Macaca fascicularis: one gene and its partners. The protein of the gene in region 4 binds, or shares a complex with, the protein of the main gene of each other region. Links are inferred from orthologs where the notes say so. Each region holds a gene or a part of one and is shown on either strand. Other genes may lie near its edges.

Region 1 (3,500 bases), on a different chromosome or scaffold from region 4:
ATGAGCAGCATTCCCCTGGGGACACTGAGGCCCAGAGAGTGGCTGAGATGTGGGGAGGGCACACAGTGGTCAGGGCGGCTGGCCCTGTGGAACTGAGCCTCTCACAGGAAAGACAGGGTTAGCACTGAGTGAAGCAGCCGCCATGATGAGCACACGCCCAGCTGGTGCCCGGGGCGCCCTCACAGCCCGATTTACGTCCCCTCCTCCATCCAACTGACGGCTGCGGTCAGCATTTCTTTTTTTTTTTTTTTGAGACGGAGTCTCACGCTGTTGCCCAGGCTGGAGCGCAGTGGCGCGATCTCGGCTCACTGCAAGCTCCGCCTCCCGGGTTCACGCCATTCTCCTGCCTCAGCCTCCTGAGTAGCTGGGAGTATAGGCGCCCGCCACCGCGCCCGGCTAATTTTTTGTATTTTTAGTAGAGACGGGGTTTCACTGTGGTCTCCATCTCCTGACCTTGTGATCCGCCCGCCTCGGCCTCCCAAAGTGCTGGGATTACAGGCGTGAGCCACCGCGCCCGGCCTGCGGTCAGCATTTCTAAATGACAGGGGACTTGAAGCAGGGGGAGGCTAAGCTGCTAAGTGCGGACGTGGGGCAGTGGGTGAAGAGCTGGGTGCCGCAGGGACTGAAGCCTGGCATGGTGGGCACGTGGGGTGGTGGGGGAAGAGATGGGTGTGGCAGGGACTGTGTCTCAGTGGCCCCCAGCTGCAGGGACGTGAGACCCAAGAAAGGCTGTGGCGTGCATGTGAGACGTGGCTCTTAGGGACGAGTAGGAGCTGGGCCAGCAGGTGAGGACGGCTGCAGGAGACGAGGAGGAGCGTTGGAGCCCGGGACTACCCGGTGGTCTGGTTGTGGGCAGACGGTGGACACAGATGTGCCCAGCGGGGGTACCAGGCAGTGAAGCTGAGGGTCCTTGCAGCCCTGCCTGCCACGCGGGGTGGCGCCAGGTGCTGCCATAGGAACCAGCGCAGCTCAAACTGCAGGGTGACTCACCACAAGGCCCGGGGGAAGGAACGAGGCCTGGGGGAAGGAACGGCAGTGGCCCTCTTCAGCTGCCTGGTGACTCACGACGAGGCCCGGGGGAAGGAACGGGCAGCCGCCCTCTTCACCTTTACCGCCCCTGCGGCCACAATGGGCAGTTGACGTAAACACCTGCAGGCCCCAGGAGCCATCGGGGCCTCTCGACAGGGGCTCATTAGTGGCTTCTGAGGAGCACCAGCCCACACGTCCGGCCGCTCCAGGGTCCATTCGCGCTCGTCGGCAAAGGCCTGGGCTCTTGTCTGCCAGGAAAACACTTCCCTTCTCCAGGGCGGAGGCCGGAAACCGGGCCCGCAGCCGCCGAGGCTCTGAGCACCAAGTGGCTGTTCTGGCCACGGTCATGGCAGGCGGGCGTCCCTGCTTCGCTCCAGCCCCAGATTTTGTGCCGGAGGTGGGGGTGACGGGCTTGGCTCCGTGGGTGCGGGGGCCCATCGGGCAGATAGAGATGGGAATGGGGGCCCCAGAAGAGGCTGCTGGGGAGGTGGGTGGGGGCGGGGGTGGGGTGAGGGGCGTGTTCTCAGCAGCCTCAGCTGACCCGCTGAGCCGTGGCTTCCTCTCCCTGAACCAGCTTCTGGAGGATTCCGTGCACTGCCCCCGCCCGGTCTGGCCTGTGCCCTGCTGCCTGACGGCCCCACCCACAGACCCACACTCCACAGCCGCCTGCACGCCTGCAGCCCCTCACGGTGTCCCTGCTGGGTGAGCTCGGGTGAGCAACGCCGCCTCTGAGCCCCGGCTCCGCGTAGGATGGTGGCAGCCGCTGCGGCGGGAGTGGAAGGATGGAAGAGTCTACATGCCTAACACACTCAGAAGGCCGGCAGGCACGGGGGTCACGCCCCAGATCCTAGCACTACTGGAGGTCAAGGCAAGAGGATCGCTTAGGGGTGGGGTTCAGGACCACCCTGGGTGACAGAGCGAGACCCGCCTCCAAATTAAAACCAGCTGCCCCCAAGGGCAGGCCCAGGGCCTCCCGCAGCCGGCCGGAGACTCACCCACGGGGGAGATCTGCTGGAAGATGTTGTTCACGGGAAGCCCCTCCTTGCGCAGGGACCAGCATTCCACGATGCTGCTGGTCTGGCTGGACGCGCACAAAAGCACCTACGGGGGAGGTGGGGGTGAGGGCAGACCCGGCACTGCTGTGCTGGCCACGCGACCAGAGCCTGAGCCATGGGACCCTGGGGCCACGCCTGCCCCTCGAGGCCCTCCTGGATTCCAGCCCAGGCCTGCCTGTCCCCAGTTCCACTCACAGGAACCCAGATGTCCCCGGATGGTGCCCCCCACAGGGAGAGCAACGGGACAGGGAACCAAGTCGGGGGCTTCTAGGAGTTTGGGGCGTTACTGATTCCGAATTACAACGGAAATCCAGGCGACCTGGTGTGGTCGGCTGGACAGTGGTCCCCAGGACATCCCATCCTCAGCTCTAGGACCTGTGGCTGGGCCGCCTCTCACACAGAAGGAACCTGTGGGTGGGATTTGGTTCAGGACGCTGAGACGGGAGAGCATGTTGGGGGGGTCCAGGGGCCCCATTGTCTTCACAGAGTCCTCACGAGAGGATGTGGGAGGGCGAGATTCAGAGAGAGACAGGAAGAGGCTGTGCTGTGGCCGTGAAGCGGGAGGAAGGGGCCCCGAGCCGAGGGACTGGGCGCCCCCAGATGCTGGGAAAGGTAGGAAATGGGTTCTCCCCTGGAGCCCCCAGGAGGGACCGGCCCTGCCCACACCTTGGTTTAGCCCACGGCCCCTGTGGGTCTCCACCTCCAGGACCCTGAGAAGCAGCGTTCCATTCCAAGCCTGCCAGCCTGCGTGACAGCCCGTGTCCGCTCACCTGCTCCGACATGTCCCGGGCCAGGAACTTGAGATGGGTGATGGCGGGGAACTTGTCCTTGCGGTTCAGGTCGGTGGTGCAACGCATGAACAGGGAGGGCAGGATCTCCGTGTCGATGCGGCACTTCTCGCTCACCACGCTCACGCACACCTTGTAGAACTGCACGGGCGACGCGCTGCTGCCGTCTGCCGTGGCCACCACGATGTTGCCGCCGCCTGTGAAGGCGATGTCCGCCAGGGCCACACGGCCGCGCAGCCGGCACAGGCTCTCGGTGGACGTCAGCACCTGCCCGCTGGGCTTCAGCAGGGACACGGTGACCAGGCCGCTGACCGTCACTGCGATCCAGCCCTCCATGGGCTTGCCGCCGAACAGCGTGAGCGACGGTGAGAACTTCACTCGGGAGAACTTCTCCCCGAAGCTGGAGGCGCCTGACTGTGGAGAAGGGAGGGAGGAGGGGCCGCTCAGGCTCACGGGGGTTCCCTCTGTGACCCCGAGAAACACTCACACAGAAGAACCACGCAGAAGCCAGGGGAGTGTGCACCTGGGTTCAGATCCTGACTCAGCCACCTGAGCCGTGTGGGATGTGGTCCCCTCCGACCCTCCGTCTCCTCATCTGAAAGGTGGAAGGAATGGCACCTTTGCTTTG
Region 2 (3,702 bases), on a different chromosome or scaffold from region 4:
GGCTAATTTTTTTTGTCTTTTAGTAGAGACGGAGTTTCACCCTGTTAGCTAGGATGGTCTCGATCTCCTGACCTTGTGATCCACCTGCCTCGGCTTCCCAAAGTGCTGGGATTACAGGTGTGAGCCATCGCACCCGGTGGAAGATTTTCTTTAGAGATCAGAAGATGCTACAGATTTTTTCATGCTGATGAAATTATTAGGGAGAGAATGGAAAATATGTGAATGGTTGAGAATATAATGCCTACTTAGAAAATATGGCAAACTTTACCTATCATAAATGTTAGTTTTAGAAACCAAGGAGATCATCTTGTCTTGGACCCCAAACTACTGGAAGAAAAGGAAGAAAATATTCTGTCTGTAGTTATGAAATGTAACAGGTTTGTTTTGTGGCTCTAATAAATCTTTGGTCTGTGTCCATAGGTTCTTGATAGTCCACAATGGGTGAACCACAGCAAGTAAGTGCACTTCCACCACCTCCAATGCAATATATCAAGGAATATACAGATGAAAATATTCAAGAAGGCTTAGCTCCCAAGCCTCCCCCTCCAATAAAAGATAGTTACATGATGTTTGGCAATCAGTTCCAATGCGATGATCTTATCATCCGCCCTTTGGAAAGTCAGGGCATCGAACGGCTTCATCCTATGCAGTTTGATCACAAAAAAGAACTGAGAAAACTTAATATGTCTATCCTTATTAATTTCTTGGACCTTTTAGATATTTTAATAAGGAGCCCTGGGAGTATAAAACGAGAAGAGAAACTAGAAGATCTTAAGCTGCTTTTTGTACACGTGCATCATCTTATAAATGAATACCGACCCCACCAAGCAAGAGAGACCTTGAGAGTCATGATGGAGGTCCAGAAACGTCAACGGCTTGAAACAGCTGAGAGGTTTCAAAAGCACCTAGAACGAGTAATTGAAATGATTCAGAATTGCTTGGCTTCTTTGCCTGATGATTTGCCTCATTCAGAAGCAGGAATGAGAGTAAAAACTGAACCAATGGATGCTGATGATAGCAACAATTGTACTGGACAGAATGAACAAAGAGAAAATTCAGGTCATAGGAGAGATCAGATTATAGAGAAAGATGCTGCCTTGTGTGTCCTAATTGATGAAATGAATGAAAGACCATGAAAGATGTTTATGTTTCTTTTTTCCTTTTGATAAATAGCCTCATATATTAGTTTATTTTCTTTTGGACAGTCTTAAGAGAGGTTTCACTAAAAATGTAAACAGCTTTAATCTTGACTCCAACTTTTTCAATTATGAGATGTCATAGGCAGTAATTTCACTGTATAACAAGCATAGACAAATGAGTACCCCTGCACTAAGAATAATCACTTTAAAAAGCAAAGTGTTCACCGCTGTTGTATGGGACATTCCTATGTTTTGGAGTTGCGGTAAAACTTTGATGATAACCTCAGTAATAGCAAAAGTTTTCGTCTTTGAAAAGGGGATTTATCATTTGCTTTAAGAATGATAGAGGAATAATGGATATCAATCTATAAATGTAAAACTATGATATCTTTAAACTTATTCCATTAAAAATTTTGCTTAAGCTGCAAAAGGTAGTATAACATGTTAATAGAGAGGAGCCCAGAAGAATTATAAAACAGAAACTTTATTTTTTCCTCATGACTGCTCCTGTAAACCCACTATCTCAGTCTTTTCTCCCTATCCTGAATAGACTCTTGCAGGCAAGTCCCATGAATTGTTTTTTTCTCCAGTCACTCAGGTAATAAGTCCTTTGGCCATTTTAAGTTACAGACATTAATTTTAGTAATTAAGATGTCTATGTCATTAGCTACACATTTTCTTTAAAGCTAAGCCCAGACTTGCTTAAGTCCACATTGGGAAAGGGGTTTGACGGCAGAGACTGCTAGGTGTCTACCAGAGAGTCTTGTTCTTTGAAGATACGTTGCCAAGATGTGGCAACCCAACCAGGGACATTTCCGTACTGCCAGCATCTCTGTGAGAACATATGATTAAGTTCTAGGCAGTGAAATGTGGGCATAGGAATCCAGGCTTGCCCCATAAACATTTCTTGCATGATCCTCCATTCTTTTCTCCCAACTGCTGGTTGCATGGTCATATCCAGGATAAGTTTGGAAGCCACCGAAGATGGCAAAGATTGTCAGTCTGGGTCTTTGAATGACTGTGAGGACTAAGTCTTCTTTTCATTAACTCCACTCTGCCCCTCACTAATTGGACTTTATGTGAGCACTTTCTTCTCCCCACTGTCCATCACCTCTTCCACCAAGGTGTTAGTAGAGAGTTGACTTTGTTTCTGAGGATCTTTGCCTGCCATTTTCTTAATGTAGGCCAGTAGTTCTTAAAGTGTGTGGTCCTGGACCAGCAGCATTGGTACCATTTGGGGACTCACTAGAAATAAAAGTTTTAGTATAATCCATAGGTTCAGAAAAATAAAAAATAAATGAAGTTTCTCTAGCTCCATCCCAGACCTTTTCAACCAGAAAGTTGAAAAGACCAGCGGGGGCAACATAGTGAGAACTTCTCTCCATTGCTATTTAATTTTAAAAGGAAAGGATATAGGGTATGTTGATTGAAGGATAAGTTGAACATATAAACCATGAGGAGGACAGAAAGTGTCTGAAGTTTTGAGTTAGTAGCCCTGGAGACCATCCTTCCTGTTAGCTTCATTCTCTTTACTGATGAACTTCTTTAATGATGTAGGTGGAGAACATGGCAACTAACAGTTCCCATGTGTTAAGCATTTCTATGTTTACCACTGTCTGGGAGTTCTCTCTCAAATACGAAAAAAAATGAGGTTAATTAACGACCTAGACATGAGGAATTAGGGGTTGCATACTTGATTCCAACTGGGCAAATCAACTGGGACTTGGCTCCCATAATAATTTGACAGTCCCCACTATGTCTATGTATGGAAGAGTCAGTCTGTCTCAGAGGAAGGAAGTGGTGCTGAACTAACAACGAGATATCCACTACAGATCAGGCACGTGTAAACTTAATATAAATAGCAAAAATAAACTGACTGTACAAATCTGTGTTCTCTTTATGAGAGTAGTTTTTCCCCAGCTATTCATTTATTCATGGTATTCATTTGATGAATACTTACTGTGGTCACCTCTATGCCTGATGCTAGTTTAAGTGTTGGATGTGTCGGAAGGGCGAAGGAAAATGTAACTAAGATAATAAAACGAATTGATTTTTGAAGGTGATAGTTTGTGTCTTAACTATTCAGCCATTACAGCACCTTCAGAAGAATCTTGCTTCCAGTTATGTTTCTATTGTCTGTTCAAATCACCTTGTCCACATTATCTTCTCTTTTCAAGGCATGTGTACATGTTCACTTCTTTTTTATCTCTTAAAACTTTTTTTTTTTATTTTTTGAGATGAAGTCTCATTCTTTCGCCAGGCTGGAGTGCAGTGGCGCAATCTGGGGCCACTGCAACCTCCAACTCCCAGGTTCAAGCGATGCTCCTGCCTCAGCCTCCCGAGTAGCTGGGACTACAGGCACGTGCCACCATGCCCACTAAATTTTGTATTTTTAGTAGAGAAGGAGTTTCACCATGTTGACCAGGATGGCCTGGATCTCCTGACCTCGTGATCTGCCCGCCTGGGCCTCTCAAAGTGCTGGGATTACAGGAGTGAGCCACCATTCTTGGCCTAAAATTTTTTTTTTCTCTTTGAGTAGAGATGAGGTCTCACTATGTTACCC
Region 3 (4,195 bases), on a different chromosome or scaffold from region 4:
CCTTAGCCTCCCAAACGACTGGAATTACAGTCATAAGCCTGTAATAGCTGGCTTGACATACATTATTTTTTAGTCATCTTTCTCCCTCCATGGCTATGGCTCAAATGTTTGGAACATATTCAGATACTTGTTGACAAAATCTGGCCTGGCGCAGTGGCTCACGCCTGTAATCCCAGCACTTTGGGAGACCAAGGCAGGTGGATCACCTGAGGTCAGGAGTTCAAGACCAGCCTGGCCAACGTGGAGAAACCCCGTCTCTACTAAAAATACAAACATTAGCTAGCCATGGTGGTGCACGCCTGTAACCCCGCTACTTAGGAGGCTGAGGCAGGAGAATTGCTTGAACCTGGGAGGTGGGGGCTGCAGTAAGCTGAGATTGCACCACTGTGCTCCATCCTGGGCAACAGAGTGAGAATCCATCTTAAAAAAAAAAAAAAAAATCAGAGAAACAGGACCTAGAAAGATAGCTGCTGAGGGTTTGGCATAGAGGGGAGTGGGAATTAGTGTTTAAGGGGTAAAGAGTTGCAGTTTTATAGGATGATAAACAAGCATTTTAGGCTGGGCGTGGCGGCTCATCCCTGTAATCCTAGCACTTTGGGAGGCCAAGGCAAGTGTATCACTTGAAGGCAAGAGTTCAAGATCAGTTTGGCCAACATAATGAAACTGCAACTCTCTACTAAAAATACAAAAACTAGCCGGGCATGGTGATGCACGCCTGCAATCCCAGCTATTCGGGGGGCTGAAATACAAGAATCCACTGAACCGGGAAGTGGAGGTTGCATGAGCTGTTATCATGCCACTGCATTGCAGCCTGGGTGACCGATCGAGACTCTGTCTCAAAGAAAAAAACAGTTGTACTAAGTATTTTTTCAAGCTACTCACAATAAACCAAAGTTCTAAAGATCTGTTGTTCAGCAATGTTAATATACTTAACAATACTGAACAGTACACTTAAATATGTTAAGGTTTTTTTTTTTTTTTGAGACAGAGTCTTGCTCTGTCGCCCAGGCTGGAGTGCAGTGTTGCGATCTCGGCTCACTGCAATCTCCGCCTCCCAGGCTCGCACCATTGTCCTGCCTCAGCCTCCCAAGTAGCTGGGACTACAGGCACCCGCCATCACGCCGGACTAATTTCTTTCTGTATTTTTAGTAGAGACAGGGTTTCACCGTGTTAGCCAGGATGGTCTCAATCTCCTGACCTCGTGATCCACCCGCCTCGGCTTCCCAAAGTGCTCGGATTACACGCGTGAGTCACTGCACCCGGCCAAGATGGCAGATTTAATATGTTTAGTGCATGTAAAACTGTAATTTAAAGTAACAGTTAAAAACATAGTTGGGTGCCAGAAACTGTGCAGGCTGCTTTTGTGTTGTCTCTCATCTTAAGGGAAGCTGAACAGAGAAGAGGAAAACAGGTAATCCAAGTTCCCTGGTTCACTTACCCTGCAATAGGTACTCCATCATGTTAATGGTGCCCCCAGTGACAGGCATCATGGTGACTGGAGGTGCCTCCATGGTGTCTAAGTTGAAGACAACACAACTGGACTCAGAGCCCCCAGTCAGGTAAGGCACGGGATATACCTGGAAAAGAGTTCACTTGTTTATACATCAGAGTAGTCGAGAGAGACCAAATCTGTTGTGGCACTGGCCTTCAAATCAAAAGATTCATTCATTTAAAAACATTTCAGTGTCTTACATGGCCAGTTCCAGGAACTGATGATACAGAAATATAAAAAGGAGATCTGGTCATGGAGTTACAGCATTGCCTTCTAGTCTCAAGTTCTGAAACCTCCAAGTTACCTGTGCAATCTTGAGAAAGTCCTGTCTATAACCCCTCACCCTGGGACTCAATATCTTCCTCATAAAATGAGACCAGCAATTTTTTTTTTTTTTTTTTTTTGAGACAGAGTTTCACTCTTGTCGCTCAGGCTGGAGTGCAATGGTGCAATCTCTGTTCACTGCAGCCTCCGCCTCCCAGGTTCAAGCGATTCTCCTGCCTCAGCTTCCCGAGTAGCTGGGATTACAGGCACCCACAACCATACCCGGCTAATTTTTTTTAATATTTTTAGTAGAGACAGAGTTTTGTCATGTTGGCCAGGTTGGCCTTGAACTCCTGGCCTCAGATGATCCTCAGGTGAGTGGGCCTCCCAAAGTGCTGGCATTATAGGCGTGAGCCACCACGCCCAGCCAAAGGCCAATGATTTTTAACTCCCAAGGTTATGTGGCTCAAACGAGATAATAAAGAGGCAACAAAATTCAGAAGAACTGAAAAGTGTCTTAAGGGACCTTCATTTTTACAGATGAGGACATTGAGACTCAGAGAGGGACAGGATACACACAGCAACTTGGTAGCAGAGTTGGGACCAAACTAGAATCTAGGCATTCCATCGCTCTGAAAATGCCTTTCCCCCATACCCTTTTCTTTTTTGGTGACAGGATCTCGCTCTGTAGCCCAGGATGGAGTGCAGTGGGGGAGTTCCTAGTTCACTATAACCTCGAACTCCTGGGCTCAAGCGATCCTCCCACCTCAGCCTCCCGAGTAGCTGGGACTACAGGAGGGAGAGTCACTGCGGCTAGCCTAAAAATGCCTTTTAAAGAGAGCCAAGGCCAGGCGCGGTTTCTCACACCTGTAATCCCAGCACTTTGGGAGGCCGAGGCTGGCGGATCAACCGGAGGTTGGGAGTTCGAGACCAGCCTGACCAACATTAAGAAACTCCGTCTCTACTAAAAATACAAAAAATTAGCTAGGCCTGGTGGCGAGCGCCTGCAATCCCAGCTACTCAGGAGGCTGACGCAGCAGAATCGCTTGAACCCGGAAGGCGAGGTTGTGGTGAGCTGAGATCGCGCCGTTGCACTCCAGCCTGTGCAACAAGAGCGAAACTCCGTCTCAAAAAAAAAGAGAGAGCCAAGAGGAAGTTATTTTAAAATGATGGTATATAGGTCCTTCTAAGCCAGCATCCACAACACGTGTCCACTTAAACACTAGAAGCACACCTCCTTGAGGCTCTAGTGTCTTCTCGAGAAGTCGGGAATTATATGCACCCGCGCACCTAGGAGCCTTTGAGCGACGATTAGATCCCAGTCCTCCGGTTACCGGAGCCCGGGAAGCCCCCAGACCGGTGCAACCAGCCAACTTCCTGCTCTTCTCACTTCCGGTCGGAAGCCGAAGTCTCACAAACCTCGAAACTGCCGTTCCCAAACGTATGGGTGCCGAGAAGGCCGAAGAGCGTCATTGCGGACAGACAATCAGAAGCGCATGCGCAAAATGCCGGGCTGCTGTAAGAAAGATGGCGGCCTCCTTTGGAGCTTTCCTCCGGGGTCTACCTGGCGCCTTGACGTCACAGGCCATCCTCTAGGAAAATATTTTTAGGTTTGACAACCTGGAGATGTATTTGTGCAGAAAGTCTCTTGGAACTGATAGGACTTACAGAGATTATAATGGGCTTAAAAAGAAAAATGAACTGAGGGCGCGGTGGCTCACGCCTGTAACCCCAGCACTTTGGGAGGCCGAGGCAGGTGGATCACTTGAGATCACGAGTTTGAGACCAGCCTGGCCAAGATGGTAAAACCCCGTCTCTATTAAAAATACAAAAATTAGCCGGACATGGTGACACGCGCCTGTAATCGCAGTTACTAGGGAAGTTGAGGTGGGCGAATCGCTTGAACGTGGGAGGCAGAAGTTGCAGCGAACCGAGATCGTCCACTGCACTGTAGCCTGGGATACAGAGAGAGGCTCTGTCTCAAAAAAATAAATAAATAAATAATAAATAAAAATTTAAAAGTCTGGAAAAGGAGTAGGTCCAGATCCAGGAGTACTCTGCAGTGCCAGACTAAAAGAACACGTGTGAGCTTTAAAAGAACCCTGGTTGCAACATGGAGAAAAGTTTGGGAAAGGAGAGAGCCTAGAGAAAAATGACCAGGCGGGACATGGTGGCTCAGGCCTGTAATCCCAGCACTTTGGGAGGCCAAGGCGGGCAGATAGCTTGAGCTCAGGAATTAAGACCAGCCTGAACAACATGGTGAAACCCTGTCTCTACAAAAAATACAAAAATTAACTGAACGTAGTGGCTTGTACCTGCAGTCCCAGCTACTTGGGAGGCTGAGGTGGGAGGATTGCTTGAGCCCAGGAGGCAGAGGTTGTGGTGAGCTGAGGTAGTGCCACTGCACTCCAGCCTGTGCAACAGAGGGAGATCCTGTCT
Region 4 (3,483 bases):
TGTAAAATCTGTGCTGGGGAAGTCACTGGGGCTAGGCTAGGAGGGGGCAGGCTGAGAGATGGCCTTGAATGCTCAGCTGAAGAATTGAGACACAGTCCCAGTAAGGACTCTTTTGATCAGAAGAGTGATAGGAGGAGTTGGGTATGTTGCAAGACTCCTTGGAATGAATGGATAGCATGTGTACTGGGAGGTGCAAGAAGAAGACTTCAGGCTGGGCGTGGTGGCTCATGCCTGTAATCCCAGGACTTTGGGAGGCCCAGGTGGGCAGATGACCTAAGGTCAGGAGTTTGAGATCAGCCTGGTCAACGTGGTGAAATCCCGTCTCTACTAAAAATACAAAAATTATCTGGGTGTGGTGGCATGCGCCTGTAATTCCAGCTACTCGGGAGGCTGAGGCAGGAGAATTGCTTGAACCTGAGAGGTGGAGGTTGCAGTGAGCCGAGATTGCATCACTGCACTCCCACCTGGGCGACAGAGTGAGACTCTGTCTCAAAAAGAAAAAAGAAGACTTGAGACGGGGAGCCTGGCCAGTAGACTCTTGGAGTGATATACAGGTGTAGTAGAACAACTTGAAATGTTATTGGGGAACAACAACAGCAACAGCAAAAAACCTCAATGAGTGTTTATAGAATGCCTATTTTTTTTTTTTTTTTTTGAGATAGAGTCTCGCTCTGTCGTCCAGGCTGGAGTTCAAGCAATTCTCCTGCCTCAGCCTCCTGAGTAGCTGGGATTACAGGCGCCCACTACCACGCTCAGCTATTTTTTTTTTTTTGTATTTTTGCTAGAGACGGGGTTTCACCATGTTGGCCAGGCTGGTCTGGAACTCCTGACCTCAAGTGATCCGCCCGCCTCAGCCTCCCAAAGTGCTGGGATTACAGGTGTGAGCCACCGTACCCAGCCCTATTTTTCATTTTTGTAAGAGAAAAAATAGCTAATGCAGATGAAAAATTCCTAACCATTAAGGTTATGAGACACTAAAATAGAGTATCATCTTATGCAACTTATTCCCCAGACTGGAAGTCTGGTTAGTGACAAGAGGAATGAATGAAATAACCTGCTAACGTTTCTTTCAGGTCAGGGACCCGAGGTTTATACTGACCCCCTCTCCCCACCTCCCTCACACCTTGACCTCTGGTCCTCTTGTCTTTGGAGGTTTTCACACCAGACACTGCAGCAGACACCCATGATAAGTACCATGACTCCAATGAGTGCCCAGGGCGTCCAGGCAGGCGTCCGCTCAACAGCCATCCTACCTGAGCAGCAACAGCAGCAGCAACAGCAGCAACAGCAACAGCAGCAGCAGCAGCAACAGCAACAGCAACAGCAGCAGCAGCAGTACCACATCCGGCAGCAGCAGCAGCAGCAGATCCTGCGGGTAAGGCACTGGGGAAATTTCCTCTGGGACCTGGGAGCCCAGGGAAGAGGAGAGGCACAAGTTCTTCCCACACAGTTACCAAGACTAAACGAGGCAGTGTATCAAAACACCTAGCAGAGCAGCTGGCCTCTAGTGGTGCTGGAGAAGTTAGTTTCCTACCCTCCCCCTTTTTGTTTTCTGGGAATCATAGTAGGAGAGAGTTGGACATTGTCCACTGGGTACCCTAGATTTGGTTTCTTTCTGGGCAGCTGTCTAAAAAGGGAAGGCAGTAGACCCCGAGCTCCCACCCTGCTTCCTCATCCCCTGCCCTCAGCCCTCCAGTTCTGAGTCTTAGCTTTCTCCCTCTGCTCCTTCTGAAGTATCTTTTATGTTCTTATAGCAGCAGCAGCAGCAGCAACAGCAGCAGCAGCAGCAGCAACAGCAACAGCAACAGCAGCAGCAGCAACAGCAACAACAGCAACACCAGCAGCAACAGCAGCAACAGGCGGCTCCTCCCCAACCCCAGCCCCAGTCCCAGCCCCAGGTAGCTACTGGACTAGAGCCCCAGGCTCAGGGACAACTGCCCAGGTTGGGCATGCAGCCAGTGAACTGGGTTGGGGACAGTATGGAATAGGGTAGAGGTGGGAGGCAGGGCATGGCACCCTAAAGAGGGATTGGGAGGCCAGGTGCGAGGCTCACGCCCGTAATCCCAACACTTTGGGAGGCCGAGGCAGGTGGATCACTTGAGATCAGGAGTTTGAGACCAGCCTGGCCAAGATGGTGAAACCCCATCTCTACTAAAAATTAAAAAAAAAAAAAAAAAAAAAAAAAGCCAGGCATGGTGGTGGGCACCTGTAATCCTAGCTACGTGGGTGGCTGAGGCAGAGAATTGCTTGAACTTGGGAGGCAGAGGTTGCAGTGAGCCGAGATCACACCACTATACTCCAGCCTGGGGGATGGAGCGCGACTCCGTCACAAAAACAAAAACAAACGGATTGGGAAAGGAGGTTGAAGAAGGCGAAAAGTTAGACTTCAGTCTTCCACTTCCTATTTCCACCCAGTTCCAGCGCCAGGGGCTTCAGCAGACCCAGCAGCAGCAACAGACAGCAGCTTTGGTCCGGCAACTTCAACAACAGCTCTCCAGTAAGCCTGCCTGCCTTCCCAAGGAGAACCCCATGGAATAAATTTAGGGGGCGGGGTGGGCCAAAGTAGCTGAAAAGATGGCTTCAGGCCCAGGTTATGAGAGGAGGCATTCCATTCCATCCCCTTCCCTTGATACCTGAACAGCTTTCCTCGTGCATACCCACACCCCTGCCTGGTCTGCCATCCCTGATAATCTCTGGTTTTTCACAGATACCCAGCCACAGCCCAGTACCAACATATTTGGACGCTACTGAGCCACCTGGAGGAACTGCTTGTGCACTGGATGTGGCCCCACCCTTTCCTCTTAATTCCCAATCCCGTTCCTGGGCTAGCACCAGTAGTGGTTGGGGCCCTTCCCTCAGGCTCCGTTTTTAATAAGTTTTTAGTATTTTTGTTAATGTGAGGCATTGAGCTGTTGGGTTTTGTATATTATTTATATAGAGACCCCAGAGCTGTTGCACCCAATACACAGAGCTTCTTTGCAAAGGGAGTGTGTGAGTTCTGCATGTCTGGGAAGGGTGGTCTCTTGGGAGAATGCTGGGGGCTGGATCAACAAGTCAAAGTCTTCGTTCTATTCCAATCATCTCCCCTGTTTACCTTACACTCTAAATTTCTTTTTTTTCTTTCTTTCTTTCTTTTTTTTTTTTTTTTTCTTTTTTTTTTTTTTGAGACGGAGTCTCGCTTTGTCGCCCAGGCTAGAGTGCAGTGGTGCAATATCAGCTCACTGCAACCTCCGCCTCCCAGGTTCCAGCGATTCTCCTCCCTCAGCCTCCTGAGTAGCTGGGATTACAGGTGTGTGCCATCACGCCCGGCTAACTTTTGTATTTTTTTTTTAGTAGAGACAGAGTTCCACCATATTGGCCAGGCTGGTCTCGAACTCCTGATCTCATAATCTACCTGCCTCAGCCTCCCAAAGTGCTGGGACTACAGGCGTGAGTCACCGCGCCTGGCCTAAATTTCTTACTTCTAATTGGATTGCTACCCTC
Region 5 (2,434 bases), on a different chromosome or scaffold from region 4:
GAGTGCAGTGACGTGATCTTGGCTCACTGCAACCTCCGCCTCCTGGGTTAAGCAGTTTTTCTGTCTGAGCCTCCTGAGTCGCTGGGACTACAGGCGCCTGCCACAACGCCCGGCTAATTTTTGTATTTTAGTAGAGATGGGCTTTCGCCATATTAGTCAGGCTGGTCTCAAACTCCTGAACTCAGGTGATCTACCCGCCTTGGCCTCCCAGAGTGCTAGGATTACAGGCATGAACCCCCGCGCTCAGCCTGTTTTTTTGAGACAGGGTTTTGCTCTGTTGCTCATGCTGGAGTGCAGTGGCACCATCTCGGCTCACTGCAGCCTTGTTCTCCTGGGCTCAAGCAGTCTGCCTCAGCCTCCCAAGGAGCTGGGACTACAGGCTTTGGCACCATGCCCAGCTAATTTTTGTATTTTTTGTAGAGATGGGGTCTCGCTAGTTGCCAAGGTTGGTCTTGAACTCCTGGGCTTAAGCAGTCCTCCTGCCTTGGCCTCCCAAAGTGCTGGAATTACAGGTGTGAGCCCCTGCACCCAGCCTCCCTCTGTGCTCTTGATCTCAGGGTCTTCTCTGGGCTTTCCATGTACCAGTTACCTCCGATGGGTGAAGGTCAGGTGGGGGTATCCCCAGGGAGCGCCGCTTTTGCACTCGGCAGGCTGTTCCCCAGCGCTCTGTCTGCTCTGTCCCACAGCAGACCGGTCCATGAGCAGCTCCCTCTCAGCCTCTCAGCTCCACACCGTCAACATGCGGGACCCTCTGAACCGAGTCCTGGGTAAGTTCCCCACCCGTGCTGCTGAACCTGGGGTTAAGCTGGACGAGTCCCTCTCCTCATGGAGGCTGGGCGACCTTGTCATCTGGAAGGGGCCTCATGGTGCCCCTCCCTTCTCCCTCCATGCTCCTCATTGCTGGCTGTCCTGGCTCCCAGGCTCCTGTCTAGTTCCCCCCCTCCCCTCCCCGGTTGCCTTTTATATTTTCTCTCTCTGACACCCCGTTTTGGGGACATGCTCAGCATGTATTTCTTTTCCCTTTTCAGTCCCGCCTTCTCCCAGAGTGTGACCTCACCCCCTCTCATGGAACTCCCTCCTGTCACTCTCCACAGCCAACCTCTTCCTGCTCATCTCCTCCATCCTGGGGTCGCGCACCGCTGGGCCCCACACCCAGTTCGTGCAGTGGTTCATGGAGGAGTGTGTGGACTGCCTGGAGCAGGGTGGCCGCGGCAGTGTCCTGCAGTTCATGCCCTTCACCACCGTGAGTACCACCTTCCTGGCTCTCCCGCTGGTGCTGGGGCCTCGGTGCAGCCCTTGGAGCAGGGAGGGGCCTCCTTCCCCTGGGACAGCACGCCCACCACCAGCCATCCAGCAAGCAGCATCTCTGTCTGTGGCAGGTGTCGGAACTGGTGAAGGTGTCAGCCATGTCCAGCCCCAAGGTGGTTCTGGCCATCACGGACCTCAGCCTGCCCCTGGGCCGCCAGGTGGCTGCTAAAGCCATTGCTGCACTCTGAGGAGCTTGGCATGGCCGCAGTGGGGGCTGGGGGCTGGGGACTGGCACAGCCCCAGGTGCCTCCAAGGGAAGCAGTGAGGAAAGATGAGGCATCGTGGCTCACATCCGCTCCACATGGTGCAAGAGCCTCTGGCAGCTTCTAATTCCCCGCTTCTGACTCCTGACCTCCAGGATGTCTCCTGGTTTCCTCTTTTGAAATTTCTTCTCTGTCTGCCAGCACCTGAGGAGTGTGAGCAGCCTGGACCACAAGCCCAGTGGTCACCCCTGTGTGCGCCCGCCCCAGCCCAGGGGTAATCTTACTTCTGAGGAACTTTCTAGACGCAGAGAGTGTGTGTGTGTGTGTGTGTGTGTGTGTGTGTGTGTGTGTATATATTTTGTAATATGTGAGGGAAATCTACCTTTGTTCATGTGTAAATAAAGCTCCTCGTGGATCCCTTTGCGACTGTGGGTGCTGTTGGTATCAGTGTCACCCGGGGCGGGGCACAGTGCTCTCTCCCTGGACTGCCTGTGCTGTGGCCGGGGAAAGCGCACTCCTGTGGTGAGGAGGAGGAGGAAGAGGTGCAGAGGTGGCAGGGCTTAGGGTCCTATGTGGACTTGCTCAGCTGAGGAAGGGCCAGGGGAAAGCAGCTTCCCTTCCTTGGAGCCAAGTTGGCCGGCCTGCTGCCCCTCCCGCAAAGCCAGCTGTACCCTGAAAGGGGAGAGGCTTTGGCTCAGGGCCCCACAGTGCTGGGGCAGGGTGGCCTGCTCTGCTTTCTCCCGAACCTGGCCCAACCCTACCCACACTCTGACTAGCCTGGGATTTGGTCTGTTGCCTCCAAAAAAGGACTGGGGGATGGGAGGCGGGGGGATGAGGGCCGGACCTTTCTTTAACCCTTCCTTGCCTGCCTCACACGTCTCCGAGCCTGGCAGTGGACACTTCTGACCCTGCTTTCCGAGGAG
Region 6 (3,986 bases), on a different chromosome or scaffold from region 4:
GAGAAGCTTCTCAAGACCAATGCTATTGTTACCAGGGAAGCGACACTTTATCATAGAAAAATATTATTCTAAGAGTCTACTTAATTGACTCTCTACTGGGCTTGACTGTAAGGTCCTTAAGTCAGACGTGCCTATGTTGTTTACTTCTGTACCCAAACATTCGATAGAACTCCGAGCATAGTACAAAGCTCGTAGTGGGTATCCCATATATATTTACAAAACCAATGGATAAATGCTAGGGTGGAGCGAGCGATTACTGTTGGCCTAACTTAGGGGATGTGTAGAAGGGAGTGCCTAAAACTAGGAGTGGACGCGGAGGGCTCTGAACAGGGTTCAGTCTCCCATTCCATTACTTTTGCAAGTGTAATACGGACCCTTTGTTGACTCGAAGCAATTCCCCTGCCAGACACTTTTTAGCTGTCCACCCCGCCCCACTACTGGCCACTGTCTTCCTCGGATCTCATCCCAGACACTCACCCAGCCGCGTGGTGCGTTCCCGCGACGCCGCGGGCTTGTCCCCAGTCCCATGCTCGGCCTCGAGCTCCTCCTGTTGCTGCCGTGCTTGCTGCAAAATCCGCCGGCTCAGCCGGGGTCCCACATACTCTTCCTCCGTTTCTCCGGTCCTGCGACCCCGCCGCTTCTCCCGGACCCCTGCCCGCACCGCATTCCCAGCCAGGATCTGATCGGCCAGGGGCGCATGTTTTTCCTGACCCCCGACCCCACGGGCCGCCTTCAATTTGGGCATTTTTCTCGAAAACGTTGCCGCGGAGGTTCGCACGTGGAGACGGCGAAAAAGCCAGATTGCGCTTGCGCGGTGGACTCCCGGCTCTCAAGAGGCCACGCGGCGATCACAGCGCCCCCTAGCATTCGGAGGCCAGAAGCGCCATCAGCGCCGCCCCTCCCACTAAAAGAGCTCCCGGGTTCCGGTGCTGGACTCCCCAATATATTTACAGCCTTTAACGTTAGCTTCTCTCAACAGTGCAGTCTTTGAGTGTCGCTCTTAGCTTCATGGGTCTAGGCCTAGAGTGCTCAGCCAAACGAGAATGTCTGGATTTAGAAACCTGTGGGCGGGAATCCGCAGATGATGTCACTAGAGGTGTCACCGAGGGGCCCTGAGACCCGCCCCACTCCTTGGGGAAGGCGTGGACCCGGCGCTCTGTTTTTACGTATTTCCGGAGTCTCTTCCGAGACCGAAGGTTGTGTTGGGGAACTGAAGCAGTTTCTGTGGGCGGATAGGGAACCCTGCGTTTCTACCGTGTGATCCGGCCGCCTTCCTGGCCCGACGCCATGGGAGTGACTTGGTAGGACTGCAGGGGGTTTTGTAGGGCGGAGCTTGGAGTTGTGAAGGGCCGAAAAGAGGACCTTGACCGTGGTCCGCCGTCCCCTGGGAGCTGTCCTCGGGTTGTGTGGATGAGAGGATGCCGTGCGAGCCGCGGGTTCCCCGGCCTTGTTTCCTCGGAGATGCGCCCCTTCCTCTTGGAAGGCGGGAAAGCAAAGCGAAGTTTTTTTTTTTTTTTTTTTTTTTTCTTTAAGACGGAGTCTCGCTCTGTCGCCAGGCTGGAGTGCAGTGGTGCGATCTTGGCTCACTGCACCCTCCGCCTCTTGGGTTCAAGCGATTCTCCTGCCTCAGCCTTCCGAGTAGCTGGGACTACAGGCGCCCACCACCACGCCCGGCTATTTTTTGTATTTTTAGTAGAAATGGGATTTCACCATATTGGCCAGGCTGGTGTCGACAAAGCAAAGTTTTTTGTTTTTTTTTTTGTTTGTTTGTTTGTTTTTGAGACGGAGTCTCGCTCTGTCACCCAGGCTGGAGTGCAGTGGCCGGATCTCAGCTCACTGCAAGCTCCGCCTCCCGGGTTCACGCCATTCTCCTGCCTCAGCCTCCCGAGTAGCTGGGACTACAGGCGCCTGCCACCTCGCCCGGGTAAGTTTTTTGTATTTTTAGTAGAGACGGGGTTTCACCGTGTTAGCCAGGATGGTCTCGATCTCCTGACCTCGTGATCCGCCCGTCTCGGCCTCCCAAAGTGCTGGGATTACAGGCTTGAGCCACCGCGCCCGGCCGACAAAGCAAAGTTTTTATCCCAGGAACCTATCAATGGTTGTGTACCTCATTCCCTTCTAGATTTATTTTCCTTCCCGTGAGGCCATAGTACTGCCCGCAATGGGACGTCAGGGTTGGAAATAGGGTCTTTGGACTGTGACCCACCTGCAGACAGGGTTAGAGGGAGTGTGTTATAAGCAATCAGGAAACAGTATTTTTAAAGATTTTCTTTATTTTTCTTTATTTCTTTTTCTTTCTTTCTTTTTTTTTTTTTTGAGACGGAGTTTCGCTCTTGTTGCCCAGACTGGAGTGCAATGGCGCGATCTCGGCTCACAGCAACCTCCGCCTCGCGGGTTCAAGCCATTCTCCTTCCTCAGACTCCGGAGTAGCTGGGATTACAGGCATGCGTCACCACGCCCGGCTAATTTTGTATTTTTGGTAGAGACGGGGTTTCTCCATGTTGGTCAGGCTGGTCTCGAACTCCAGACCTCAGGTGATCCGCCCGCTTCGGCCTCCCAAAGTGCTGGGATTACAGACGTGAGCCACCGCGACCGGCCAAGATTTTTGCCTACCCTTCCCTCAGCCATCAAATGCAGTTAGACCAGCTTGTGTCTGTTTCTAATTTGCCCATTTTAAGATCTTGGGTCCAGAGGGAAAAAGAGGCTATTGAAAATAAGGAGATCATGGTTCCAGGCACTTTATCTCTTTAGGACCCGTTTCCCACTATGTTTAATTCCATGGTTAGTCTAGTTTCAGAGGAGTTTTTATCTTTCATAGGTTTTAAGTCTCCGTTGGAAGAAGATGAGGTAGCAGGGAAAGGTATGGGTCCAGTGCTTGTGGAGGCGTTAGTTGTAAGGTGCCAGGTCCCAGAACATTTTTTTCTTATCTCAGTAGATGTGAGCATTTTTCCCCGTGGGAGAAACCCAGAGGCCAGGATATCTGAAGCCAGTGGCTATAGGCTTCTCATACAAAAGCATGTGTAGGGGAAATACTTTTCCTCCTGGTAGCCCAGGTTCTTGCAGGTTTCTCAGTGATTGCACTCTTGTTTCCCACAGTTCACATCATGATCCTCCTGTGTTCCTTAATGGAAGCAAGATATGTGAGGGATGGAAATAGAAAGGATGCAGCGTAGAACCCTGGAACCCCATGCTCTTTTTTAAATAAATAGAAATGGGTTCTTGCTGTTTTGTACATCCAGGTCTTGAATTCCTGAACTCAAGCGAGCCTCCTGCTTTGGTGTCCCAAAGTATTGGCATTACAGACACGAGCCACCGTGCCCAGCCACCCCTGCTTTTTAAATGGAGAAGGCAGGCCGGGCGCGGTGGCTCAAGCCTGTAATCCCAGCACTTTGGGAGGCCGAGACGGGCGGATCACGAGGTCAGGAGATCGAGACCATCCTGGCTAACACGGTGAAACCCCGTCTCTATTAAGAAATACAAAAAACTAGCCGGGCGAGGTGGCGGGCGCCTGTAGTCCCAGCTACTCGGGAGGCTGAGGCCGGAGAATGGCGTAAACCCGGGAGGCGGAGCTTGCAGTGAGCAGAGATCCGGCCACTGCACTCCAGCCTGGGTGACAGAGCGAGACTCCGTCTCAAAAAAAAAAAAAATAAATAAATAAATAAATAAATAAATAAATGGAGAAGGCAGCTCCAGGGCAAGGGCTCTCTGTTGGCACCCTTATCAACGTTTTCAGAATCCTAGGACTTCTGTCCCTTGTAGCGTCAGTTTAGGGATTCTTTTATATTTCAACATAAGGCACATTAGCAACATTGTTTATCAGTGCTTTTTCTGATAGAGTAGTGACAATTTTTAGCAACAGAAGGACTCTACCCTAATAGATTCATTTAGTTGATCATAAAGCAATGTCATCTATGACTGTTTTCTTGATTTCTATATAGCTAAGTACTGCCTGTACTATTGTTTATTAATTTTTTAAATTGATCTTT
Region 7 (3,500 bases), on a different chromosome or scaffold from region 4:
GGCAGGCAGATCACAAGGTCAGGAGTTCGAGACCAGTCTGGCCAACATAGTGAAACCCCGTCTCTACTACAAATACAAAAATTAGCCAGGTGTGGTGGTGTGTGCCTGTAACCCCAGCTACTCGGGAGACTGAGGCAAGAGAATCGTGTGAACCCGGGAGTCATAGGTTGCAGTGAGCCGAGATCACGCCATTGCATTCCAGCCCAGGTGACAGTGCGAGACTCTGTCTGAAAAAAAAAAAAAATTAAAATCAGGCATGGTAGCTCGTGCCTGTAATCCCGGCACTTTGGGAGGCCAAAGCGGGCAGATCACCTGAGGTCAGAAGTTCAAGACTAGCCTGGCCAACATGGTGAAATCCATCTCTACTAAAAATACAAAAAAATTTAGCTGGGCATGGTGGTTCACACCTGTAATCCCAGCTACTTGGGAGGCTGAGGCAGGAGAATCGCTTGAACCCAGGAGGTGGAGGTTGCGGTGAGCCGAGATCACGCGATTGCACTCCAGGCTGGGCAAAAAGAGCAAAACTCCATCTCAAAAAAAAAAAAGGGGGGGGTATTTTATTCTTGAACTAGTTACAAGAATAGGATGCTTTTGGGGTTGTGCATGGTCTAGATATCTCCTGCGTGTTTATGATAGAAGACGTGAAGAAAAAGTAGACAATCCAATTTATATTTTGTTTTTACAACTGAATTGTGAATGGGAGACTAGTTCATAAATATAATATTTCTTTCATTAAATATGACTGAAATAAATAATGTCAAGAGGTATTTCAGAACATTACAGATAATTGTTGGGATTTCCAGGTTTCGAAGATTGTTCTTGTAGGATAAAGGATCTTATGAATTAAGCCAAAAACTAAGTTTGATATAGTTGAAGAATAAATCACATTTTTTTTTTATGTTGTTTAAATTAGGCAACAGCTGTTTACCAAGCAAAGGAGAAACTCAAGTCAATAGAAAAAGCAAGAAAAGGTTAGTATGGGAAGACTGAATGACTTGAGAAGTTAAGGTTCTGTTTTCAAGAGACCAGTGCAAGAGGATATTACTGATAATCATTTGCTGCTGTTGAAAGGATTCAATAAATTTTTATTGTAAAGTGTGTTATGTTCTAGCATTGTGCTAGGTGTTGTGAGGGAGGTAGAAGTATCACATCCTTTTTCAGATTATAAAAAGCAATTAATACAAGGCAGTTTATGGCTGTGTGCCCAAATGTGCAGTAAAAACAGTGAGTTTATAAAATTGGTGGGAGAGGGAAAGAGAAGTACGGGTTAGAAGTGGAATTTGTACCAAATCTTGAAGGCTAGGACAGAGAGAGTGAAAGGACATCCATTGGACAGCTGAGCTGGGACTGAAACATCATGAAGTCAGAGCCAGATGTACATGAAGTCAGAGCCAGTTATAGTCTTGGCAGGTAAGCACGTTTGGTAGTGCAGAGGCCCACATGCCTTCCTGGCCTGCTGTCCCTCTTTCAAAGGCTTCTGTTACGGATCTTACGTGACTTTTTAGTTTGCCATACTAAACGTCAGAATTGTAATTACAACTTTGGTTACTTGCCTTTAATGATTTGTACATATGATTTTACATTTATTCATCTGAGATTTATTGTCTAACTGTCCTCTTTTTTGGGAACCTACCTTTTTATTGTTGCATATGAAAAATAGCTAATATTCTTCTGAGAGTTAGGTTAGGCTTCTATAGCAACAAACAAATCTCTAGGAGAGATGACTGAGGCTGGCTATTGACTTCTAGACCGTAGTTTGATTTTGTTTTTAATCTTCAAAAATTTTACATACACTTTGTTAGGTTGAAACAGTAAAGTTTGTAAAATGAAGTGTGTGGTTCTCACTTCTCAGAGGTAACTATTAATGTTTGGTATATGTCCTTCTAGATTTTTTTTCTAGATCTGTGAGTATGTATATAATAAAAATACAAATACACATATGTACATGTATTTTAAACAATCAGGTCATATCGAACATATTATTTAGTAGTGTTTTGTTTACCTAGTGAGTACATTGTAGACATCTTTCTACTTAGGTCTACTTAAGAGCCTTAGGGCATATTGATCAAACAGAGTGGTGTGAACTGTCTGCTCTGATTTCATAGCTTGGATGTCTTTGAGAAATAAAACACTATTTTCTTTTTTTTTTTTTTTTTTTTTTTTTTTTTTTTTTTTTTTTTTGAGACGGAGTCTCACGCTGTTGCCCAGGCTGGAGTGCAGTGGCGCGATCTCGGCTCACTGCAAGCTCCGCCTCCTGGGTTCACGCCATTCTCCTGCCTCAGCCTCCTGAGTAGCTAGGACTACAGGCGCCCGCCACCGCGCCCGGCTAATTTTTTGTATTTTTAGTAGAGACGGGGTTTCACTGTGGTCTCGATCTCCTGACCTTGTGATCCGCCCGCCTCGGCCTCCCAAAGTGCTGGGATTACAGGCTTGAGCCACCGCGCCCGGCCTAAAACACTATTTTCTCTATTTTATTTGTGCTCACTATTGCTTTCAGAAGAGTAATAGTATTTAATGGTAGTTAATAATTGAGATTATTGAGTGCTGTCATGCTAATCTCCAAAATTTGTTTATGTCAGCTAATGTTTCTGGATTAGTGTCCTGTTTTTGGAGATTTAAGTTTATACTAAATATGTAGATATTGTTAAGGAAGGCGGGTGACTGAGATGATTTTATTTTCAGGTAATTTAAAATTAAATATGATGGGTAACTGATAGATACATTTCTAAACTTGTATGTTTGTTAGACTACAGGTTATACTATCCTCTTAACTCTTTCAGGTGCTATCTCCTCTGAAGAAATAATTAAGTATGCACATAGGATCAGTGCAAGTAATGCTGTATGTGCTCCACTGACCTGGGTTCCAGGTAAACACACTCCTGTTTTATACTAGATGTATGTGATTTTGAAAATTCTTAGGTGACTATGTACACACATAGATTTAATTTAGAATGTATGTATCCTTAGAAACCTCTGCCACATATTTTCACATCTTTAATGGTTTATAAGTAATGATATAGGCCATGGGTTTTATAAATTTTGTTTTCTATGAAGCCATTATTGCTAGGGATTATGTTTCTTTCCTCTTTTGAAATAATAATTTGATTTTGTTTTTAAAGTACAAGATAATGTGATGCTTCTAAAGCTTGGATTTATATCCCATTATATCAGGGCTGGCCAGAAGCCAACTCTTTAGAGCCATTAGGATTTCCACAAAGGTTCCAGCCTAAGAAAGACAGTTCCAGTTATCTTAGATGCTAAAGACAAAGTGCTGTGTACCCAACAGTGAACACACAGGCTTGGAAAGAGCTAGGATAATTAGACAGCAAAAGAAAATATTAGGCTGCAACTATAATGACAGTGGATGAAACATAAAACAGGAGATGTAAGGTAGCAGCCTTATTGGAGGAAGGGGAAATATTAATAGTTGTCTCCACTTCAGTAACTCCTGAAGGGGCTGTGTTACCATGCTGAAAGCACTAAGGGTGACTATAATTTTG

Evidence for each region.
Region 1: MED12 (region 4) and MED16 share a complex: the UniProt entries of both Homo sapiens proteins name them as parts of the mediator complex. The link is inferred for Macaca fascicularis from reciprocal best matches to the Homo sapiens genes MED12 and MED16.
Region 2: MED12 (region 4) and MED7 share a complex: the UniProt entries of both Homo sapiens proteins name them as parts of the mediator complex. The link is inferred for Macaca fascicularis from reciprocal best matches to the Homo sapiens genes MED12 and MED7.
Region 3: MED12 (region 4) and MED18 share a complex: the UniProt entries of both Homo sapiens proteins name them as parts of the mediator complex. The link is inferred for Macaca fascicularis from reciprocal best matches to the Homo sapiens genes MED12 and MED18.
Region 5: MED12 (region 4) and MED24 share a complex: the UniProt entries of both Homo sapiens proteins name them as parts of the mediator complex. The link is inferred for Macaca fascicularis from reciprocal best matches to the Homo sapiens genes MED12 and MED24.
Region 6: MED12 (region 4) and MED20 share a complex: the UniProt entries of both Homo sapiens proteins name them as parts of the mediator complex. The link is inferred for Macaca fascicularis from reciprocal best matches to the Homo sapiens genes MED12 and MED20.
Region 7: MED12 (region 4) and MED4 share a complex: the UniProt entries of both Homo sapiens proteins name them as parts of the mediator complex. The link is inferred for Macaca fascicularis from reciprocal best matches to the Homo sapiens genes MED12 and MED4.

Annotation. Positions count from the first base shown.
Region 1 is NC_088393.1:1,447,586-1,451,085, forward strand, and holds part of MED16 (mediator of RNA polymerase II transcription subunit 16), read right to left. Parts: exon of another isoform or gene 3,287-3,500; coding exon 2,855-3,286; exon of another isoform or gene 2,791-2,854; intron 2,697-2,790; exon of another isoform or gene 2,131-2,696; coding exon 2,025-2,130; exon of another isoform or gene 991-2,024; intron 1-990. UniProt on the Homo sapiens protein: Component of the Mediator complex, a coactivator involved in the regulated transcription of nearly all RNA polymerase II-dependent genes.
Region 2 is NC_088380.1:163,928,006-163,931,707, reverse strand, and holds the end of MED7 (mediator of RNA polymerase II transcription subunit 7), read left to right. Parts: intron 1-420; 5' UTR 421-437; coding exon 438-1,136; 3' UTR 1,137-3,202; downstream 3,203-3,702. UniProt on the Homo sapiens protein: Component of the Mediator complex, a coactivator involved in the regulated transcription of nearly all RNA polymerase II-dependent genes.
Region 3 is NC_088375.1:206,730,028-206,734,222, forward strand, and holds the start of MED18 (mediator of RNA polymerase II transcription subunit 18), read right to left. Parts: upstream 2,801-4,195; 5' UTR 1,860-2,800; coding exon 1,797-1,859; intron 1,578-1,796; coding exon 1,439-1,577; intron 1-1,438. UniProt on the Homo sapiens protein: Component of the Mediator complex, a coactivator involved in the regulated transcription of nearly all RNA polymerase II-dependent genes.
Region 4 is NC_088395.1:77,840,620-77,844,102, forward strand, and holds the end of MED12 (mediator of RNA polymerase II transcription subunit 12), read left to right. Parts: intron 1-1,152; coding exon 1,153-1,375; intron 1,376-1,754; coding exon 1,755-1,898; intron 1,899-2,415; coding exon 2,416-2,497; intron 2,498-2,707; coding exon 2,708-2,751; 3' UTR 2,752-2,983; downstream 2,984-3,483. UniProt on the Homo sapiens protein: Component of the Mediator complex, a coactivator involved in the regulated transcription of nearly all RNA polymerase II-dependent genes.
Region 5 is NC_088390.1:61,081,175-61,083,608, reverse strand, and holds the end of MED24 (mediator of RNA polymerase II transcription subunit 24), read left to right. Parts: intron 1-686; coding exon 687-767; intron 768-1,028; exon of another isoform or gene 1,029-1,094; coding exon 1,095-1,243; intron 1,244-1,379; coding exon 1,380-1,496; 3' UTR 1,497-1,934; downstream 1,935-2,434. UniProt on the Homo sapiens protein: Component of the Mediator complex, a coactivator involved in the regulated transcription of nearly all RNA polymerase II-dependent genes.
Region 6 is NC_088378.1:129,648,080-129,652,065, forward strand, and holds the start of MED20 (mediator of RNA polymerase II transcription subunit 20), read left to right. Parts: upstream 1-1,186; 5' UTR 1,187-1,287; coding exon 1,288-1,301; exon of another isoform or gene 1,302-1,924; intron 1,925-3,986. Other genes in the region: BYSL (bystin), read right to left, coding at 478-745. UniProt on the Homo sapiens protein: Component of the Mediator complex, a coactivator involved in the regulated transcription of nearly all RNA polymerase II-dependent genes.
Region 7 is NC_088391.1:27,201,984-27,205,483, reverse strand, and holds part of MED4 (mediator of RNA polymerase II transcription subunit 4), read left to right. Parts: intron 1-913; coding exon 914-971; intron 972-2,780; coding exon 2,781-2,867; intron 2,868-3,500. UniProt on the Homo sapiens protein: Component of the Mediator complex, a coactivator involved in the regulated transcription of nearly all RNA polymerase II-dependent genes.